Linked DNA regions of Zea mays. The protein of the gene in region 1 interacts with the protein of each later gene in a pairwise test. Links are inferred from orthologs where the notes say so. Each region holds a gene or a part of one and is shown in the gene's direction. Other genes may lie near its edges.

What was found.
Region 2: the proteins of Actin-related protein 2/3 complex subunit 2A (region 1) and Actin-related protein 2/3 complex subunit 4 interact in binary tests that used the Arabidopsis thaliana proteins (3 or more experiments, as listed by UniProt). The link is inferred for Zea mays from reciprocal best matches to the Arabidopsis thaliana genes DIS2 and ARPC4.

Annotation. Positions count from the first base shown.
Region 1 is NC_050097.1:239,331,059-239,334,878, reverse strand, and holds part of Actin-related protein 2/3 complex subunit 2A, read left to right. Parts: intron 1-211; coding exon 212-381; intron 382-481; coding exon 482-559; intron 560-3,818; coding exon 3,819-3,820. UniProt on the Arabidopsis thaliana protein: Functions as actin-binding component of the Arp2/3 complex which is involved in regulation of actin polymerization and together with an activating nucleation-promoting factor (NPF) mediates the formation of branched actin networks.
Region 2 is NC_050100.1:1,392,254-1,396,712, reverse strand, and holds Actin-related protein 2/3 complex subunit 4, read left to right. Parts: upstream 1-1,647; 5' UTR 1,648-1,742; coding exon 1,743-1,757; intron 1,758-1,979; coding exon 1,980-2,045; intron 2,046-2,145; coding exon 2,146-2,198; intron 2,199-2,407; coding exon 2,408-2,435; intron 2,436-2,959; coding exon 2,960-3,034; intron 3,035-3,306; coding exon 3,307-3,411; coding exon of another isoform or gene 3,412-3,471; intron 3,472-3,684; coding exon 3,685-3,774; intron 3,775-3,900; coding exon 3,901-3,990; 3' UTR 3,991-4,193; downstream 4,194-4,459.

The DNA of each region.
Region 1 (3,820 bases):
TGACATTCATTTCATTACATTTATTTGATGATGATGTGGGAGTTTTATATTTCTATTTTCATCCATCACTTCTACATTTAAGCCCTTGTATTCTCTTCAGGATAAGTCTGCCAAAGCCATAGCCATCTCCTGAAATGTGATCATTTTTCTATATGAGTCATGTTCTCTGTATTTGTAGCTTCTAACCATTTGTTTCTTTTCTATATTTCAGAGCAAAGGAATACTATCTTGACACAAATTGCATCTATTAGAGAGGTTGTGTTGGGTGCACCACTGAAGCTCCTGCTGAAACATTTAGCCTCAAAGACAGTTGCACCTAATGTTAACAACCTTGTTGCTCTTGTTCACCGCCCTAATGAATCATTTTTCCTTGCTCCCCAGGTATAACTTTAGGGACATCAATATCAAATTATATCACTTAAGTGTGCCATACTAATTCTATCATTTGCAACAAATGGGATTCACTGTGTTGTTTCTTCAGGCAGATAAAGTTACTATTGTGTATCCAATGAGATTCCAGGACTCCATTGATATTGTTTTAGCAACTTCCTTCCTGCAGGTATTTTGGATTCTTCCTTTTGTCTCTTTCATCAGCTTCCTGGCCTATTGTTCTTCATGGTCTTTTGTCTTTTATGTTTATCGTACCAACTGCATTTGACACTAAAGGCCAATTTAATCTATCATAATGCTAACAATTCATGCTGCAATGTATTTATTGCAGCAACTCATCAATTAAGGAGTTTTCTATGCTCAAATAAAACTCTTACTTTCTGCTGGGCGCTTCTATAGTTCTGTATCTGTTGGTTTTAGCTCCAAAAGACCAATCCTACTCAAGCCTTGGGCGGGACTCCATGTGCAGATTCATCCAAATGCGAAAGCCATGTTTAATATGGCCCTGTGATGGGACAACAACCAAATTCTGGACGGATCGTTGGGTGCAAGGCAAAATGGTGGCTGAAATAGCTCCCAATCTCATCCTCCTTGTCCTTTGTCGTGCACACAGCCAAAGAACAATGAGCCAAGCTTTTTAAAAATAGGCAATGGATTGGGGATGTCAAGTGTGATTGCTCAGTTCGCATCATTGATGATTATCTGAAATTATGGGATCTTTTGGAAAATTTTCATCTACATGATGGTGTGCAAGACCAGCACTATTTACTTCATGGGTTGTATTTAAGGTTCTAAATCTCTGGCTACAGTGGTTGCTCTAGCAGGAGATCGCGGCTGGACGGGTGTGCCGCTAGGAAAGTTCACAAGGCGCTAACCGCTAATAGCCCGATTTAGTATGCAGAAATATACTAAACAGCGAATGAGTTAGCGCTGCTTACCCGTTATCTGTCGGAGATCTGCAGGGCTGGCCGAGACCTTCCTCGCTGTCCACCGCTGCTTGATTCTGGATGGCTACCTCTGCAGTCTGCATGTAACAGTAGCAGCGGCTCTGTTTTGGGAGGTATTCGGACCACCGGTGGCGTGTTGGCCTCTTGCCTCCACTCGTCGATCTGGCACCTTTCTGTCATCACGCTCCTCAGATGCGTTCACTCGGCTCTAGCTTGAGAAACAGAGGGAGCGTTGGGTTCCTACGGCACTGACGCGCCATGGTCATGATGTCACGGTGCTCCCCAAGCACGTCCGCGTGAGTGAGCAGGATCGAGGGAGCAACATCCTCTCTGGGCTCCGGCGGCAATGCAAAGGTGAGGCTGCATTGCAGAGAGTACGGTGTGAAGGTGACACGAGTTGGACAAAACAGAGAAGTGTGAAATGTGTGGACAGTGTTGTTCCAGATGTGTGGACGAGAAGGAGGCCTGAAGAGGTGGCCCAGTAGCCTGGGTGGAGTGACTATCTGTTACGTACGTCGTAGCGGCTGTAATATGGGCGATTGTCTGTCATAGCTGGTTGGAGATGTTGCCGCTAAGCATGATCTCCGGCGATTTAGAACACTGGTTCTATCAGATTTGTGCCTTGGAAAAGCATTTGCAAATATTGGGCTCTTCACCATTGTAAGTGCTTCATATGGGTAGCAGACCTCAACAGATGTTGGACTGCAAATAGGCTTGAGAAAGGAATCTTGCCACACCCAAGATCCTGCCCCTTTTGTGATCAGGATGAGGAACAATCCAGAATTTCTTAACTTCATGCGTTTTTGCAAGATGTGCAGTTCATCTTTTACGCATGAACTTGAGCTGCAGGCTTTGATCCCTCTGTTAGACTCTCTCCCGTTCTGTAACTAGTGGTGCAAAGTGATTAAAGAGTTGACAAACAATCTAGGAAAGGACTCAACACCCTCATCATCCTTGTTGACAGAGGAACTATGGGAACATTGCAATGATTATGTGTTCAGTGTTCAGCAATAGTACTTCTGTAGATGTGGTGGTCACTGGTCAGGATGGTGATTGATGCAGGGGCTGCCTGGTGCACTGCTGAGGCTGTGGACCTTAGGAATTTGGTCATATCTCTTGTTTAGGCCTCCCTGCCATGAGTGTTGTGGCAGTGTCTTTTTCTCTCAAACCATGCACGAGAGATGCGTGTCATTTTATTAAGGTAGGAAAAAGGGTACACCCCCGAATTGTTAAGGACCACTCAGAGTAAAAAGAAATCAAACCACTACAAAACAGAAACTACACGATCATGACCAGACAAAATGATCCCGATCAGGCAGCACCTAAGGGGTAGGGGCCAGGGACCTCAAGAGGAGATCCTGGAGAACCGACCGAGGAGTTAAAATCCTTCTGGAGCTCCTTAGGCAAAGTTCCGTAGGCACAGAACCACCAAGAGTTGAAGCGACTAGCCGAACCTAGAGGCACCTTGTCAGGGAGCTGCAATCTTTGTAGCACCCAGGTCCAAACCTCCCTTGTAAGCACACACGCAGAGGATATGGTTAATTGATTCACGTCTGGATCACTGAAGGGGCAGGCCGGCTGATGTGGTAGCACTCACTTCACCAGGCGATCCGAACTCTGAAGTCCAGCAACAACTATTGATGGCTGGCCAGACAAAAAAAATCAATTTGCTGGTGCCCAATTCTTCCAAATCCGTTTCCAAGGAGAGAATGGTATGGAACTAACAACATAGTATTATAAGCCGATTTACTGCTGTAGCATCTAGAAGAGGAGAGCTATCAGGAATATTGATCTGGGATTTCTGGCTGCAGCACAATGCCTTCAACCATATCACAAATGCGGAGGTAATCGATCAGCACTCTTACAGTAAGAGCGCCCTGGATATCTGTAACTCAACTCCTGTTAAGGAAAGCCTGACTCACTGTACTCTTTTTTGATACTTTCTTTGGGATCACTCTGAAAAGGTCAGGGGCTAGCTCAGCAACACTTTTTTCTTGTAGCCATCTGTCTGACCAAAATTTTGTGGACTCTCCATTACCAATGTGAACATTCACTGCCATATGAAACAAAGCACGAGCTTGTCTTGGGATCTGAATAGGAAGCCTGGCCCAAGGCTTTGTGACATCGGTCTTCCACAACCACAGCCAGCGAATACGCAAAGCCCATCCCAACCGCACCAAATCATGCACCCCTAAACCACCAAAGTGAACTGCAATGGTGCTTCTGTTCTGATCTTTCAACGTGTGTGGTGTCCATGTGGGCCTAGTGGTTTGTGTGGGGTAGGTTGGGATGGATGAAGGGGGTGCGTAGTGTTTAGGTGTTTTTATTAATGAAATGTAGTTATCCTATGTGTTTGAGAAAAAAAACTTTTTTGTTGGCATAGCTACCCTGCTAAAGCCTTGGCATTACTATTCTGCTGAGGTCCCTTTCATTATGACACAATCGATGTGAACATCTTGCTTGCTTCTTGTTTAAATTTAGGA
Region 2 (4,459 bases), on another chromosome or scaffold:
AACATTAGAATCAGTTTATGATATATATTAATATTAATTATGTTACACAATGTATGTATTTATGCAATGTGGCACGCTACGTAAAAATCTATTTTGTGCTGAATATGCAAAAAAATATGATACCAAGAATGTGCGTTGAAAGAAAATATATTGGCATGTATGAAAACAAAAAATCTGATTTAAATGCTTTAATTTCTCCATAAATATAAGATCTCTCCAACAACCAATCAGCTAGGCTCGTTAGCACTAGTTTATGATATATATTGATACAAATTATACTACATTGTGTAGCTATTTATGCAATGCAGTACATTGCGTAAAAATCTGACATGAAGTGTACTGGTGGATAAAAACCTTCAGTTTTGAGCGTAAAAACCTGAAGTTATGAGCGTAAAATACTGATCCAATCTGAAAGTTCTTGCAAACCTCTTAATGTTGCTATAAATATGTATATAAAGTGACATAAAAATATGTATGTGATTGTATGTCGTCCCTCCTCCACGAACATGCATTCAGGCGTGTACCCCACCAGACACATCCATGATTCTATTTATTTGGCAGATCTTACCAATATGTCAACCATTAGGCACATGCATGCAGTTCATATTTTTATATATGCAGATCCGAAAACTATGGTAGGTCGTGGGAGTTTCTATTGCATGCGCACAAATTTTGAGGGTCATTTTCGTTTCTATGGCATACACACAAAAGTTGGATGACTGATATCGCGTAAAACATAAATTGTTACAGAAGGTCGCATAAGTACCTACACGGTATATCATATTTAATAAAAAAACTTAGTATGGACTCAACCAACAGCTGCATGCATAAACAAATGATTGGAGTAGGTCGTCACCGTAGGACGCCGTCGAAGCCACTGGATCAGAGGAGTTGTTCATCGAATGACGCCAGAGCCACCCATGCCTCACGTGTCGCCATCGTCGGAGATGACCACGCCTCGCTGAACCACCGGAGCAACCCACGTCTTCCGTGGCCACCATCGTTACTGCCGAAACCTATCGCGTCTCGCGCCACCGTCGTCGCGCACAGGGCCTAGGGTGCGCCGTCGCCGCTCGTCCACTTCAAGAGCGTCGTCGCCACTTGCCCGCCCGTCTCGGGAGCATCGTCGTCGCTCGATCCTAGGGAGTGTCGCCACCGGTGGCCTGGCTCGGGACGCCACCGCCGCTGGCCTCTAGGATCGCCACCGCCGCTAAAACTTAATCCATAGCGGTCTGGATGTGTTTTTATAGCCGCCCGAACCTGGTGCGGCTGAACCGGATGACATCGTTGGGCTAGAGCTTTCTATTATATATATTGCTTGTGTATGTCTAGAAGTGATGTTTAAATTGATCGCAATGTTGTTTTATTTTTTATATTCCATGCGGCAATGTTTTCACTTTTTACGTTTAATTCTAATTTGATTCGTTTTATCATCTAACTAGTCCCATTTTTTATGGTTTCATTTTTAATCCCGTTTCTGAAATAAAATATGAAAAAAACGGGAGGTAGGCTATCCCGAACCCGTTCGTTTTCTTCCCCTGTATTAGGCGAACATGTATACTTTCGTTTTTAAGGAACGGCCCAAGAAAACCGGCCCAGGAGAGGCCCCGTGGTCACGCATCAGGCCTGCTGCTTGTCTCGTTCACTCCTGCGTGATCTCTCTCCCTTCCGGCGACGCCTGGGCCACCGCCGCGGCCGCCCTACGCCAGGTGCCCAGGTTCTCGTCCGGCTCTTCGCCGGCGATGAGCACCCACCAGGTATGCCGACCCCTGCCTGCTGCGCGAAACGGAACGCCCGAACCCTAACTTAAGCTATCTGGCTATTCGTATTCGGATCTGATCGTAACTGCAAGTGTAGCGTATCCCCATTGTAGTATTACGCCTGCTATAACTTCAGTATCTGGCAAAAACTATCTTCGTTTCGGCGTGTGCTAGACACATCGACATCTCAAAACGTTAACGAGCGACTCTTTTTCGCAGGCCAATACGCTGCGGTTGTACCTCACCTGCATCCGGAACACTCTGGAGGCGGCGATGTGCCTCCAGGTATTCTCTTCTGCTTCTGCTCGAGGCTCCTCCTCCTGCTGCTGTTCCCAGTTCACCACGAGCGTAACGTGGATGGTTTGTCCTTTTGTTCTGGTACCAGAATTTCCCTTGCCAAGAAGTCGAGAGGCACAACAAACCGGAGGTGGAGCTCAAGTAAGTCATGCTGCAAGCAGGCAACAATGGTTGTTCAGTGCTCTTCTTCCTTGGCACATGTGCTTAACCTTCATAATTCATATCCCATTCCATGTTGACTCCTATAAATAATAACACAATTCTTGTTTGCTCGTGAATTTCCTAAAGGCTCATGCGGATATATCGTTTTGCCCTTACTAATCCATCTTCATTTTTAATCTTATTCACAGGACAAGCCCTGAACTTCTGCTGAATCCGGTGAGGGAGACTTCTTTGACAGTATCTTAAATTCATTTTACAACCCTTCATTATCGACCTTTATTTTCTTTTTGGAGACAGTGTGAGTGTGTTCTAATATGTACGAGGTAACTAAACCCAACATGGCAAAACATGGACTACTAATGATTGCAGTGCCGTCGTTTTTAGTTGGAACAAGTGCACTATTATGATACCAAGCTAAGAATCACGGACAGCTCTGTTTCATCGTTTAACATTCCTAAGTAAATTTAAGCTTGATTACTCAAGGCTGGATCTTCTTTTGACCTGCGATGGAATTTTCAGTGATTTATGTTTTGTGGAAAAAAATGGTTGCCGATATTTGTTAGAACATTTTTTTTACCAAGATACCACTTAAGATAAGTTGGTTGTTGTTGCCAAACCAATTAAGTATATGTTTGCTTGTAGATGTAACTTACATTATCCCTTATGCTTATTTGGAAGAGATTTATAAGTTCTGTTAATATTTTGAGAATTGTGACTCATACTCCTACATTTATGTACAGGTACTGATATGCCGCAACGAAGCAGAAAAATGCTTGATAGAGACTTCAATCAACTCCATACGAATAAGCATGAAGGTACACTGGAGAGCTTTGTGGGATTTTTCAATGGTTATTGGGGTATCAGTGCTGCTATACATTTGGCATATTATTTGGACGCTACTGTGATTTGATGTATGATTTGGTAGCAAAATTGTTAGAAAATATTCCTGATACAAACTAAAAAGGTGGACCCGATGGCAGTGTTTGGTGCCTGCTCACATGTGTTGCATCTGCTTGTGTTTAATACGTTTTGTCATGCAACCATTTGCTGTCTGGTATATACTTATAGCTTCTGATTGATCTGGCAGGTTAAGCAGGCAGATGAATTGGAGAACATTCTTGCCAAGAAGTTCCTTAGGTTTTTGTCAATGAGGGCAGAGGCATTCCAAGTGTTGAGGAGAAAACCGGTTCAGGTTTCCAACTTAACGTTGATTACCTTGAGCAGTGTTTTATGTACTAAACATGAACTACCTGTAAGGCACAGGGATACATCATTGTGGACAGCTGGATGATGGACCATATTTTTGCTAACATTTGTTGTACTAGTTTTCTCTCTCTCCCCTCTTATCTTGCCGTATTCCCACATAGAGCTCAGCTTTACCAAGTTATCAACATAACTGCTTATCCCTTCAGAAATCTAAATTGTTCACGACTGAACTGGTGGCAAATTATGCCTTATGTTTCAGGGCTATGATATCAGTTTCCTGATAACAAACTACCATTGTGAGGACATGCATAAGCACAAGCTCATAGATTTCATCGTGCAATTTATGGAGGTAAGTTCATACGCATAAGCATAGGCATGGCTTTGAGTTTGTCGCTTGTTCTCTTTTGGTCGATAGATGCAACGTTGTTTGTATGTTGGCAGCGTACTCACACTATTCTGCTTACATGAACCCCAGGATATTGACAAGGAGATCAGCGAGCTGAAGCTGTCAGTAAACACTCGTGGCCGGCTAGTGGCCACTGAATTCTTGAAGCAGTTCTTATGACTCGGCCATGGCCGTAGTCAGTGTTGATTATCATGGCCTGCAACTAAGCTGCCGTTCTGCAACAGCTTTAAGTTTTTTTTTATACGACAGCTCTTGTAAATGCCTTGCCAAAGATGCATTCGTGGCCCTGGGCCACCTGATTAACAGCTGACAATTGCAGTATCAGGACGCACATAGCGCTCTGAGATTGTTCATGTGATCAATTCCTGTGTTTTTTAATTATTCTTTCATTTGCAAGGCCTTCATTGTTTTTCACCGACTGTTGGCGTTGTGGCGTGACTAATGCATTATTTTTTTAAATAGGAGGTTGGATAAGGAATCTGCTGATTATGGCTTAAGAGCATCTTCACTTGTTCCTAAAATTAATTTAGGGTGTTATCGATCAAAAAATCATCCTCCAACAGTTTCCTAAATGAGGTCCTCAAATATACCAAGTTTCTAAATATCTCTATTCTAGACCCTATACTTA